Rattus norvegicus: one gene and its partners. The protein of the gene in region 1 interacts with the protein of each later gene in a pairwise test. Links are inferred from orthologs where the notes say so. Each region holds a gene or a part of one and is shown in the gene's direction. Other genes may lie near its edges. The genes, in order: Syncrip, Prmt8 and Nupr1.

What was found.
Region 2: the proteins of Syncrip (region 1) and Prmt8 interact in binary tests that used the Homo sapiens proteins (3 or more experiments, as listed by UniProt). The link is inferred for Rattus norvegicus from reciprocal best matches to the Homo sapiens genes SYNCRIP and PRMT8.
Region 3: the proteins of Syncrip (region 1) and Nupr1 interact in a two-hybrid assay, tested with the Homo sapiens proteins (2 studies listed by BioGRID and IntAct). The link is inferred for Rattus norvegicus from reciprocal best matches to the Homo sapiens genes SYNCRIP and NUPR1.

What each region holds. Positions count from the first base shown.
Region 1 is NC_086026.1:98,312,450-98,317,396, reverse strand, and holds the start of Syncrip (heterogeneous nuclear ribonucleoprotein Q), read left to right. Parts: upstream 1-2,010; 5' UTR 2,011-2,517; intron 2,518-3,813; 5' UTR 3,814-3,825; coding exon 3,826-3,973; intron 3,974-4,670; coding exon 4,671-4,789; intron 4,790-4,908; coding exon 4,909-4,947. UniProt on the Homo sapiens protein: Heterogenous nuclear ribonucleoprotein (hnRNP) implicated in mRNA processing mechanisms. Component of the CRD-mediated complex that promotes MYC mRNA stability.
Region 2 is NC_086022.1:162,222,877-162,227,102, reverse strand, and holds part of Prmt8 (protein arginine N-methyltransferase 8), read left to right. Parts: intron 1-3,412; coding exon 3,413-3,534; intron 3,535-4,206; coding exon 4,207-4,226. UniProt on the Homo sapiens protein: S-adenosyl-L-methionine-dependent and membrane-associated arginine methyltransferase that can both catalyze the formation of omega-N monomethylarginine (MMA) and asymmetrical dimethylarginine (aDMA) in proteins such as NIFK, myelin basic protein, histone H4, H2A and H2A/H2B dimer.
Region 3 is NC_086019.1:190,642,866-190,647,274, reverse strand, and holds Nupr1 (nuclear protein 1), read left to right. Parts: upstream 1-1,373; 5' UTR 1,374-1,459; coding exon 1,460-1,571; intron 1,572-1,911; coding exon 1,912-2,042; 3' UTR 2,043-2,055; intron 2,056-3,126; 3' UTR 3,127-3,409; downstream 3,410-4,409. UniProt on the Homo sapiens protein: Transcription regulator that converts stress signals into a program of gene expression that empowers cells with resistance to the stress induced by a change in their microenvironment.

The sequences.
Region 1 (4,947 bases):
AGAACGTGATGTTCTAGGTGACTCCTTTTACAACTACTGTTGGGTGCTAATGGATGATTGTGTGTCAAGAGTAACCAACTCTGAGGATGTTGCTGTTTTGTTCTTCACACAGCGTGCTGTCCTTGAACTTGTGGTTAGCCTCTTCCTCCTGCTGGGATTATAGGCTAAAGGAAGGATCTCTTTCTTTCCATATGTAGAAGTATCAGAAATCCTTAAAAAAAAAAAAAAAAAAGTACAGGGGCTGGAGAGGTGCCTCAGCAGTTGAGGGGGATTTACTGCTCTTGTAGAGGACCCAAATTTGGTTTCTAGCATCCAAGTCCAGAGGTTCCTAACTGCTTGTAACTCTAGCTCCAGTGGGACCCATTGCCTCTGTGGGCATCTTCACTCCCATGTTCATACTCACATGCTCTCTCTCTCTCTCTCTCACACACACACACACACACACACACACACACACACACACACACACACACACACTTAGATAATTAAATCTTTTAAAACATGCAAGGAAAAAAAAAGGTCCAAAACATGAAAGGAATTTAGGTCAGAGATGAAGAGGAGAGGTTTCAATTGGAAAATTCTTGACATTGCCTAGGGAGCAGCACTTTTAAAGGAGCTCTTGTATTCAGGGATCATTAAATAAGAACTGTGTCAAAGTTTTCCCCTTGTTTAATCTACCGTCTATTACCATTTTGGTTGTTTTTCATTGATATCATTATCCAGACTTTTGGGGTACAAACTACAATATTTTGCTGAATTAATCAAATACCATAGCAGGGATATGTTTCGTAGTAAGGGATTTAGGTGGTGGATAGCCAGAGCCGTATTAAACAGATTTTGGGTAGACAGTACTTCAGAAATATTTCCTATTTGGTCCACTTGTCAACAGAAAAAAAAAAGCCCTATTTTATGTATTTAGGCACTTTGTACTGTTTATTTAACTTTCCTTGGACTACTGGCTTGTTATTACAGCATAAATCTATGTTAGATTTTTTAGAAACAGTAGCTTTCTCAATATATGTATGTATATATATGTATGTATATGTATGTATTCTTTTTTGCAAACAGGATGTTATTTTACATTACAGCTGCTCTGCATAAAATTAGTATCCATATCGCCTGAGACACAAACGCCTTTGTCTTGTCTTTCTTGTCCCTAGTAAATGGTTACAAAGGAAATGTCACTTCACAGAACATTTAATTGCCAAGATGCTTGAAAAGAAACACATTTTCCTCATAGTTGTCCTAATCACGCAGCTTTCTGCTGCTTCAAGTTGTTCAAAGTGTGCCAGGAGGAGCACTTAACCGCTTAAAAGGCCAGGGACAGAAACGGAATATTGCACAATCCAACACCACCGGGCCGGTTAAGCTTCCAAATCTGGCCTCGGTGTCATCCCCGGGTGGGAGGAACTGGGATTTCCTCGCGAACCCGCGGCGCCCCTCCCTTTGCCCAGGGTATTCGTGGAAGCCGAGGACGGCGCGCGCCGGGCCGCGGGATGCCCCATTGTCCAGCGGCGGAAGCCGGGGCTCCCCGGGGTGACTCCCGAACTCGAGCCCCGCCACCCGGTGGCCCCGAGTTCCGCCATCCCCCGTGCAGCTCCCCTCCCCCGCAGCCCCATTGTCTGCCTCGCCTCGCCCCGCCCCGGGGGACACGTGCGCCTGCAGCTTCTCGAGCGCCCAGGGCGCGGGGCGGCGGTGGCAGCCTGGGCAGAGCGGTCAGCCAGCGCCGGGCACCCTCGGAGCCCCGACTCGCCGTGGGGAGGTGGGGGCGGGGAGGACGGGGTGGGGAGATGCTTGTCTCCTGACAAAGAAGGAGTGGGACACACAGCCAGCCGGCAGCCCCGCCCGCGGAGCGCGAGGGAGTGTCCGCACAGAGGGCGGGTCTCCCATTCACTCGGCCCCTCACGGTCGCCGCGGCGGAAGGGCGGGGTCTCTCCCCCCCCTACCAGCACCTAGGGGCGGGGCGAGAGGCGGGGCCCACGGGCGCGCGTCCTGAGGCGTCGGCTGCGTCGTCACGTCAGCGCGGGAGAGAGAAAGAGCGACTCGGCAGGGACTGGGGACGGGCCGAGAGAGCTAGCGAGGGAGGGCGTGAGCCAGAGAGCCAGCGAGGAGAAGGGCGGCCACTCGTGCTTGAGCGGCCGCGGACGGGAGTGGGAAAGCTGGGGGAGGAGGTGCAGGGAAGGAAGGACGAAGACCGAGAGGACAGGGCGGCCCACGGCCGGCAGAGGTGGCAAGGGGAGAAGGAGGAGCTGTAGGAGGGCAGGGGCTGAGGGAGTGAGTGAGAGAAGCGGACGCGCCAGGGAGGGGAGGGAAGGGGGGTCACGCGGGGGCGCGCGCGCGCACTGGGAGCGCGCTCGGAGGCGAGTGGAACTGGATCGGGTTTGCTGCCAGCGGCGTGAGCTTCGGCCGCCATTTTACAACAGCTCCACTCGCGCCGGACACAGGGAGCAGCGAGCACGCGTTCCCCGCCACCCGACCCGGTCGGACAGGATTCCTCGGCCCCAGCCCCGCGGGGAGGTAACGACGGCCGGCACACGGGTGTTGGGGAGGGGGGAGCTCCGTGACATTTTGGAGGGTGCTTGGGGGAGGGCGGCGCGGGGAGAAACCGGCTTTTCTGGAAAATGGATTCCAAGGGGGAGAAGAGCACGTTGGCCGGGGCTGCGAGAGAGTAGGCCGCGGTCGCGCCGCCACTTCCTCCTCTCCATGTGCTGCCGGGTCTGGGCTTTGTCTGCGGCGCTCCGGGAGGAGGCGCCTCGGCAGCCCCGTGGCCCGAGCGGATCGCGAGCGGCGGCGGACTTGGTGCTGTCGTGGCCGGCGGCGCGGGAGTGGGCGGAGAGGCGCGGGTGCTGTCCCGCGACCGGCCGGCGGGCTTGGGCGGTGCTCGGCTCCCGCGGGCGTGTGCTTGGCGGCGGAACGCCCTCCCGGCGCGGGCTGTCGGCCTCGGCGCCGCAGCCACTGCACCGAGGGGTGCGGGAGGCTGGGGGTCGCGGGCGCACGGGAGCGCCCGGGGCGGAGAGCCATGTGTCACGGCGGAGACGGCGGCGCTGGGGGGCGGGGAGAGCCCGTGGCCTGGCGCCGCCGCGGCCTCGCTTTTGAGGGGCGAGATGTGCGGCTGCAGTGTTCGGGGGGCTCGGACCCCGATTGCGGGTTGATGTTGGGAGGCGGTCATGACGGTCTTGGCCTGGTACTCGGTGGGTTTCCGTTGAAGGAAGTTGTAGGACATTTGAAGGCGCAGAGCACGTGTTTCTAATGGGCTCCTGGCGGCTGCAGTGGCGTTGCTGCCGCTCCGGGTGCGGAGTCGGGGGCGGGCTTTGGGGTGTGGGGGTGAAGGGTGGAGGAATTGGGTGGTGGGAAGGTGGCTTGTGTGAGCGCTTTGTTCTTCGCTGGCTGTTGTTACTGATCTATAAGCGGCAGGCGGGAAAAGCGCACTTTCTGGTTTACCTTGGAGAGAGACAAGCCCAGCGTTGCTTGCTTCACACACCTTATTCTCCGTTTTGGAAGTGCTGCGTGTGGCAGGCTGGGCCGGTCGCTGTGCTGATTGGGCTTCATTTGTAATAAGGTTTTTCTCAGTGAGTGTTAGTTAGCAGGTGAAGTGAGGGGTGGTGCTCAGGAAGAAAATAGTGAATCGGTCCTTCTGTACCCCGGGCTCCACAGTCTGGCTTGTCAGGCGATAGTGACTTTAAGGTTTCTTTCAAGGGAGGCTCAGGCTGACTGGTTGTAGTCAAGTGGAAGAGAAAGTAAAGATTGGGACTGTCATTGTCCTCTATTCTGTTTGAAGATCCTAGTTTAATTTTGCTTATTGCGTTTGAACAGATCTCTGGAAACATGGCTACAGAACATGTTAATGGAAATGGTACTGAAGAGCCCATGGATACTACTTCAGCAGTTATCCATTCAGAAAATTTTCAGACATTGCTTGATGCTGGTTTACCACAGAAAGTTGCTGAAAAACTAGATGAAATTTACGTTGCAGGTAAGAACTAACACTTGCAAAATTACATTATGAAATTTTTCTATTGGATTTCTGACTTTGAGCTAAAATAGCAACTTTTTGTGGTTTCCAATAAACGTGGGAACTGGAGCTTGGCCTTGTTCTGATAGTTGGTTAATTTAGGTTTGAGGTAGAGTGTAGAGGGAGGGATGAAATGAGGGGATAGACCTCCCTAGGGGAAGGCTGTCTGGCCTGATGGATAAGTATATGATAGTAGCAACAGCTGCTGAATGTTGAGAGCAGCCCACGTGACTTTTTGAGGTATTTTTATAGCATGATTCTTGTTTAATAACTTGGTAACTCTAGGCTAGTTCTCTTGTCTTTCTCGGTGTGGTGGCTCCTTTTTTCTAGTGGTACTTGACATTGAGGAGAGGTTCAGTTGTTAGGCTTGGTGTTTTGTTGGTTGACTTTAGGATTTGTAGGCTTATATATTTACTGTAGAAATATTGAGTGTTCAGGACTACTCGAACACAAAACAGGATGTAAAATAGGTTGACTCCTTCTGTGGTTGAGAGGACTTATGGCTAAAGTAGGTGTTTCATTATGTAGAGGAGGGGAGGATAAGGAGGGTAGGTAGAACCATTGTCATATGTGTACCTGTATGGGTAAATACAGGACTCTGAAGAAATAGTTTAGAAAATTTAAAAGATGATAACTCACTAAACTTTTTCTTCTCCAGGGCTAGTTGCACATAGTGATTTAGATGAGAGAGCTATCGAAGCTTTAAAAGAGTTCAATGAAGACGGCGCATTGGCAGTGCTTCAACAGTTCAAAGACAGTGATCTCTCTCATGTTCAGGTATGTTAATTTAATGTCAGTGTAGAAAGAATTAAAAATGAATATTTTTGATGTGTTCATTTAAATTTATTAGATATAAACATACTAATGTTAAATATGAATTGGAAATTTCTTTACAGAACAAAAGTGCCTTTTTATGTGGAGTCATGAAGACTTAC
Region 2 (4,226 bases), on another chromosome or scaffold:
ACAAATTGAGAGCTACACCTGGTACATAACTGACATCCAAAGCCCTTTGAACACATGGGTTTATATTTGCAGCACTGCAGATGGTATTAATCATATTCACCCCAGAGTGAAAAGTTCCCAGTAATCTACAAGCAGCGGGGCTGGCTGACACCCAGAATATTCCCAAGAGGAACTCATCCTCATAGTGACTCAAAGCTATGCCATCCTGGGTTATGGGTTGGGACTGAGGAGGAAGGAAAGCTTAATCGCAGATTCAGAGAACTGCAGACATCATTCAGAGCCTCATCTTCACGGTACAAGATGAGTACCACCCTGCTCATGCAGCATTCCAGATACAACCCGGCTGTTCTAGAGCACCAGAGCCAGGCAGCGTGTCTTTGCTGGTATCCCTCAGCTTACAGGCGGATACTTGAGCGCCAGTTCGTGTAGTAACACACCACCAGCTGCCATGGCTTAGCAGTTCCCTAATGTGGTTTTGTTAGAACTAATAGGTTGTAAGTGGGGTGTCCCTATGATTCAGCTTTCAATTAAGGATGTTTTGGCAAGCAAAACGGAGATCTAGGGATGATCTAGCACTGCATGAACAGACAGGAGTCATGTCAGCACACACAGAGGGATATCTGGTCACTCTTCACTATCTATCTCACCCATACGCCACCTCAGGGGATAAATGTCATAAGTCTATAAAGGATAGAGACAAGATGGTCTGCTCTATGCAGCTCACACTCCAAGGCTTTACGGTACTAACACAGGAGCACAGAGAGGAGGTTTGCTCGTGCTAGTTAGATAAGTTGCTGAGGGGGCTTCCAGCTCACCAGCTGACTCCTGGTGGCACCGGATTTTCAGGGTCACCATAACAACCTGTGGCAAAGAAGACTCTAGGACCAGGCCCTATCGTTCTTCCCACAACATCTACCCAGAAAAATGCAAAAGGAGACAGCCACGTTAGCTATGGGGGCAGTATTATGTCCTGCCGTGTCTTTCCCCTCTGTGTCCCACCTTCCCAGAATTACTGAATTAAAAATGCAGAGCAGGTCTAGGAGATCTAGGGATGACTGTGCTACATGAACAGACACGAACCATATTCACAGTCATAGAGCGAATACATGGTCACTCTTCCCTGTCTATCTCATCCATACAACACCCCAGGGGATAAATATCATGTCATAACTCTGCAAATGATGGGGATGGGATGCAAACCTTTAATTTCTTCTATTTCTAATGGACACGGTGGAAAACTCCGATGAGAAGCCCTGAGACAGACTGTAGCCACTGGCTCCAAGATGGAAACGTTTGGGGAGGCTCTTAATCTTTTGAAACAATGTTCCTTCCACCCAGGGATGGCATGCATGCTTTGGGGTCACTCACTGGAGGCAGACTGGCCTCACTGGCCAGCAGATCTTAGCCAGCGAGGCTTGGATCCTCAAAGTCCTCTCACTGGATGAGAGAGGAGGCAGTTTGAGTCCCCTTCACTGAAGGTCTTTAGGGACAGGAGAGACACCTGCCTGCGTGGGTGGAGGCGGAGATGGGGGCGAGGGTGCTGTCAGCCACACTCCCGGCATCCGCAGCCACAGCCAGAACTTGTCTTTTGACAGTTTATTTAGAGGTAATTGGCAGCAAGCGTGCTGAGAGCAGGTGGTCTGCCAACAGCAGCATGGCTTGCAGGCTGGGTGCTAGGTGGGCTTGAGGCCCAAGTCTCTGCAAGGCACAAGCTGTATGTGGTATCCCCTCCCCCCCAGATGCTCAGACTGCGTTGTCCTGTGACCTTGAATTCTTATTGATTTCCAAATGCACACACTGAGGGCTGCTCTGGTCTCTATCTGACCACTGACATTTGATCAAGGCAGCTCATTGCAAACAACAAGTGGGGAGAGGGGGAAGGCCTCTCTGCTGCCACTAAAATAGATCTTGGGGGTTTTCAGAAGGTCTTTGAGGTCACCCCGTCTGATTTGACGCGTGACAAGTGAACTCGCTCTCGGTGGTGTCCTCAACACCCAGGGAGGAACCAGTAACTCAGTTCCTAGGACTGTGAGGCAGCTCCAGTTCTTCCTGCAGCAACACTATGGGTTCTAGTAATTCCCAAAGCCACGCGTAAAGTGCATATAAATCTCCCGTGCCAAAGTCTTTGATGTGCTTGAAGGACACCCCTGGCCTTCCCAACTCTTCTTGCTGTGGGTGTTGGTTTTAAGCAAGAAGGAAAGTCCACTGGGGGAAGACAAAGGTCTAAGCCGAGAGGAGCTCACCATAAAGTGAGGTTTCTGCGGCCCACAGGTTTCAGTTGAGCATCTTTGGGCAAATCCCACATCGCAGGATGCTGGGCTTTGGCTTCTTGACACTGTTCTCTTGCCATAGACTCGGTGCTTCTAGGTTGGGTGTGGTGAGAGCTAAGCTTGCTAAGCAAGGCTGGTCTGACCCCACTCTTTAGGAGCCTGCAGAGGAGGTAAACAATTGAGGGGGGGGTGTTTACTCTGAAGCATGCCAGACACTGTGATGATGTCAACTCCGGATGCCCTTGGAGTGCAGGATTTAGGTTGGAGTGGTCCAGGAAGGCTGGCCTTGAAGGAGGAGGATGTTGTGAGTAGGAAAGGAAGAGCATTCTGGAGGCAGTCACTGCCCGAGAAAAGGGCTGCATCCCAGGAGACAGAACCCTCCCAGTTAGCTGGAGACTACATGGAGTTCAGTGATAAATACCACTGAGGAACACGCATTATGATGGCCTTGAACTATACAGGAGGGGTGATCTCTGGAGTGAGACTCCCCTGCTGCTTCTCTCTGGTACTATTGGGAAGGCAGGGCTAGAATCCTACACCAGGACTGGGCCAGGGTGCTGGGTACTGCAATGGGGCAGACTCACAGGCAAAGGAAGCTATTCGAAGGAGGGAGAGGGAAGAAGGAGGATGCTGGTAAAGCTGGGAAACTGGCTGAACTATAGAATTGCCATACATGATGTCATAAGTCTACAAAGACCATACAGACAGGATGGTCACCTCTGTTCACCTCACACTCTTGAGTCTTTACTAACACAGGAGCATGGGAAGGAGGTTTGCTTATGCCAATGAGGCTAGTTCCTGAGGAAGCTTCCAGCAAACCGACTGTCTCCCCTCTGGCCCCTCACTAAGATCATCAGTTCTGTCCGGCTGGGGCTGGGATGGGATGGTGGGCATTGGACTGAGTCAGGAGTTCTGGGTCTTGCTCCCGACTGCTTGAGTGTTGGGATCTGGGCAGAAATCAAGACCCATAGAAAGCTCAGGACCTCTGTGTGGGTCCTGGGCTTCAGCTGATTCTTGTTTATCTCTGACTCTCTCCTCTCTCTGTCTCTGCCTGTCTGTCTGTCTTTGTTTGTATGTATGTATGTATGTATGTATGTATGTATGTATGTATGTATGTATGTCTCTCTCATGTTCCTCTCCAGCCCCTGATGCCCCCTACACTCACTGGAAGCAGACTGTCTTCTACTTAGAAGACTACCTCACTGTTCGAAGAGGGGAGGAAATCTACGGGACCATATCCATGAAGCCAAATGCCAAAAATGTGGTGAGTCTAGGAACCCCCAAAACCCCCACATGGCCAGGGCCAAGGGAGACACAGCTGACTCCTAGGGTGCTCTCTGAAGTCACCCACCTAGTCTAATGGACAAACTTCTAGCAGAAGCAGGCAGCAGCTGTGTTTGCAGAGGACTAGGCCTAATTGGGTGACCTCAACTTTGACTCTTCCAAACTCCAATGGCTTTCTAGACTCTGAAGTTGACCTTGAGGACAGACAGCTCCTGGTAGCTCCCAGGACAGCCTTTGAGAATGGATGTTGTATAAATGGGTTCTGCTTCATTTAGGGTAAGCTGAGCCAGGAAAAGCAAGTGTCTGGTTTATTTCTCCAGCCAGCCTGGTAGAACCTTTCTGAGAAGCCCCTGTACCTGCACAGAGGCAGAGTGACTGAGGGTAATATCAAGGAAGATGCATGGACCTCAGTTATCACCTAGATAAAATCCCAGGGCTGCTTTCATGTGAGGACAGGAAGGTTAGCTGTCAGAGCCCTTCTTGTGAGGATAATGGGCACCAGAATGGATTCCTGAGGATTGGGCATGGAGGCCCCTTAGCTAGAAATCCAATAGCTACCTATCCCCATGGCACCAGGAGAAGTTCTACACCTGGGGAGGGCCCCAATCTCCTACCCAGATTCATACGGTGACCCTTTGCTCTTTCCTCATAGCGAGACCTCGATTTCACAGT
Region 3 (4,409 bases), on another chromosome or scaffold:
CCCTCCACAGCAATGTATTATTTAGAATGTAAAAGTCACATGCAGTTATCGTGTGTGTGTGTGTGTGTGTGTGTGTGTGTGTGTGTGTGTGTGTGTGTGTGTGTGAATGGGCATGGGAGGGTCAGAGGACACTCTGTGGGAGATTTTTCTCTCCCATACTGTTGGGGTCCTGGAAACCGATGAACTCAGGTTGCCAGGCTTGGCGGCAAGTACTTTACCCATTGAGTCATCTTGCCAGCCCACAGTATTTTATTTTAAATCTCCCCCCCCCCCTTTGGTCACAGCAAAAACACTGTGTGGCTGTGTGGGAAACCATGGAAAATTATGACTAATCCTTATACCATTCCCAGCTGCTGTGAAGGCTTTTCCAGGCCTCATGTCCCTGCAGCCTCTCACAATGGAGGTAGATGGGGTTATCCTCTGTTAAAGGGGAAAACTGAAGCAACTAGAGAGGGAAAGTAACATGACCAAGGTCACACAGGAGACACTGGATCTGAGCTGATTTGTAATTCCAGCGTTTAGTATGATGAGGCAGGAGAATTGCAAGTTCAAGGGCTAACCTGGGCTCCATAGAAGGCCTCTGTCAGAAAGCAGGGCAGAGGGAGGTGGATCAGGAATCAGAGTGTGGAATCCAGAGTATTTGCTGTCTCTACCAGATAGCTATCCTCCACCTTGGATGAGGAGGAAGTCCCTGGGAACTCTATTGAAGTAAAGTGAGGGGACTTTCCTTAAAAATAGAAGCCTTGGTTGTGACAGGAACTGCTGACTTAGCGAGAAGTGGGTCAGTGTCTCTCCTCCCTCCCTTTTCAGTGGGTATGCTGCCACTAACTCCTGAGTCTGAACCAGACTACAATGTACAATGTACTCTGTGTGTGTGTATGTGTGTGTATGTATGTGTGTGTGTATGTGTGTGTATGTATGTGTGTGTGTATGTGTGTGTATGTGTGTGTATGTGTGTGTATGTGTGTGTATGTGTAAGTGTGTGTGTGTATATGTGTGTATGTGTGTATGTGTGTATGTGTGTGTATGTGTGTGTATGTGTGTGTGTATGTGTGTGTGTATGTGTGTGTGTGTGTGTGTGTGTGTGTGTGTGTGTGTGTGTGTGTGTGTTCTGCGGCCCTCTGCTCTCTCTGGCCAACATCCCAAAGACTGTTTGTACCCAGATCCTGTCTGCTTCCTCCTCCCCCAGAGGCAGGAGCTTTCCACGTGGAAAAACACAGCTGGGCTTGGGTGAGTCCTGTGAGGGAGGAGAAAGGGGAGGGTGCTCCTCTCTGCTCAGGACTGGTGTATATGGACCCAGTTCTGGAAAAAGGCCAGATTGCATCAGACAGGGCTTGGAGGGCGGGAACCAGCCCCATGGTCTAAGGAGGAGACAGCGTTATAAGTAGGGGTGAGGGAACTGGGAGAGGGCAGACATTTGGAAAACAGGCAAGACTTTGGAGAAAGCAGACCAGGTATGATGGCCACTTTGCCACCAACAGCCCACACTTCCCAGCAACCTGTAAACATAGAGGACGAAGATGGGATCCTGGATGAGTATGACCAGTACAGCCTGGCCCAATCTTATGTCGGTAAGGTCTGCATGGCAGCTCCTTGGTCAGCTTCCCCTCTTCTCACCCCCAACCCCATCTTACCTAATCTATTAGCTAATCTATTCCCAACTCCCAAGTACCCCCTTTCTAGTCTCATCTACTGAGTTTGTCTTCCTTAGCCCCAAGAACTCACAAGTGAGTGTCTCTCCTTCTAGACATGAGTAAACAGCTAGGGTAGAGTGCCTCAGATGTACAGGGTGACCATCACATTCTGGCCATCCTGCCCTACCCACCCCTAAGCTCCCAGCTATTTATTTGCCTGTCCCCTGAACCTCACACACCTCCTCTGCCCTGTTTCCTCTAACGCCTGCTCAACCAGTCGGTGGAGGTCGGAAAGGACGTACCAAGAGAGAAGCTGCTGCCAACACCAACCGCCCCAGCCCTGGTGGGCATGAGAGGAAGCTGCTGACCAAGTTCCAGAACTCTGAAAGGAAAAAGGCCTGGCGCTGAGACAGAGCTGGAGGTGAGGAGTCAAGAGCCAGAGAGGCAGTGAGGGAGGCACTTGCAGCCAAGCAGGACAACCTATGCTTGATTGATCTCTGGGATCCGCATAATGAAAGAGGGGAGAGAACAACTGCAAGCTGTGTTCTTGAGGGGGCCCTGCAGATACCCAGGCAGGGAAGTGATAAGAATGAAAACCCCATTCAGATTGACTTCCATCAACTTGGATCAGATTTCAGGGTGTCTGATGCCAGGAGGGTTCATTGTCAGCATATTTAAAACACAGTTCAACTTGGGAAGAGGTTTCTAGGCAACAATCAGTCCAATTCCGGGAGCACAGTAAAGCGTAAGGTGTGACTACTTGGAAGCTCATTTAAAAGTACACGTGACCCTGAGGGTGGGTTCTGTACAGCTGAAGGACCTAGGATCTAGTGTGGTCTCTACCAATAGCATGGAGTTCAGCAGGTAGATGTGACATCTCTCCTAAGAGCGGGGAATGCTCTAGGGAGGGAAGAGTCTGGGATAATCAGTCTGGAGAATTCGAGTGAGGTCTGCCTCTATAGCAAAAGCTGGGGGGAAGTCTGACTCCACACAGAGCAGAAAGGTCACTGGGTTGTTAACAAAAGTCCACTCTCAGATTTCTAGATGGAATGCAAGTATTTGACTTGCCTCCTCCATTGAGGAGACACTCTGTGTGATCGACATTTCTCGTTCTTAGTGTTTCTCTGTGAGTACAAGGACCTCTGTACCCTCGATGTCCTCCGACCTCCACAAAGTAGCACTTGCCCAGGAGAATACACATGTGCCCACATGCATGCAAACACATCAGCAAATCGGTAAATGAAAAAATAGTGCTGTCATCTACATCTAGAACAATGTGAGACCCATACTTGACTGAAGTTCCCTGGCAACCAAAGGGGAGAAAAGTTTCCCAGAGAGCCTTTCCAATGGAGGGGAAATTTGGTTTATGGAAAGGGAGACTGAGGCAGAGAGAGCCAAGTACTTCTCTAAAGTTATAGAAAATACGAGCAGGAAGGTGGGAATTCAAACTCTGATCTCTGTCCCTTTCATCATCTGCTTTCCCTCTCCACAGATGAGGCCAGACCACGGACACCACACCCAGCAATGGATACAGGACCTTGGAGAAATTAGGAGTTGTAAGCAGGACCTAGGCCTGCTTGATTCTTTCCCACCTAAGTGAGGCTCTGGAGAGGGAACACCAAAAAAAGCCCTTCCGGACCCAGCTAAAGGGCAAGTTAGGAGCGAGAAGCAGAGGGTAGATGGGCAGAGCTAAGAAGGCACCCCCAAAAAGAACAGTGGGAAAAACTGGATGCCCTTGGGTGGCAGTAACAATAAACTGTACAACAGTGACAGCATTTGTGTGTGTGTTGTGCTGTCTTTGTTGTGTTTGTGTGTATTGTATCTTGCTGTGTCCATGGTGTATCTCTCTTAGGAGACTATCTGGATGGGAGTTTTCTTACTGTGTAGCTTAGGGGGCTGTGACCAGTTGTCCAGTATTGTTGCCTTACCTAATGTATGCAGATGCTTTGAGGTGCCTGTTTCTATGGTCTCTTCTGGGGAAATTGCGGTTTCTTTGCAATACTGCCCCAGAGACAAACTGGCCAGTCCCTTCCCCATTCTTGAGCACAATGAGGTCCTATTATGTAGAGCTGCTTTTTGAAGAGAATGTTTCTATTAATACTATTTGCAAAATGACAAAAAAACCCCAACAACCTGAGGTTTAAAATATGCAAAGGATTTGTTTTAAGCAACTGAGGGCTCAAATCCAAGCATGGAATGACAGGCTGGCTTCCAGGGCAGGGTGCTTGGTGAACTGAAGAGAAAGTTCTCCTTAAGCAGGGTGGGTTGGTGGGTGCCAGGACCAGAATTCCAGGCGAACGTGGGGCAAATGAAAAGACAATTGGATACAAGTGTAGAGTTGCCTGAGGGCTGAGTTTGGGCTCCTGTAATTTCACTCAGACGAACAAGGTAGAATGTTCTTTCTTGCACACACAATAGCTCTGTGAGTAAACATCCCTAAGTTGCAGGTGCTAAGTCCATTTTATTGAGGCTGGTCTCAAACTCAAGTGGCCCTCTAGCCTCAACTTCCAGAGCGTTGGTTTCTAGGCATCCTATACCACCACTCCCACTTATCATATTCATTTTTTTTTTCCGGAGCTGAGGACCGAACCCAAGGCCTTGCACTTGCTAGGCAGGCGCTCTACTACTGAGCTAAATCCCCAACCCCTAGGGCAGAGTCTTATTAGAGAAAGAAGATGGGGGATACTGTAAGAAATGGGCAGAAACATTACTCAGCACTCAGACTCAGCCAAAGTAGGAGGAAAGGGCCCTAGCTCCAGCCTCTGTCCCTGTCTC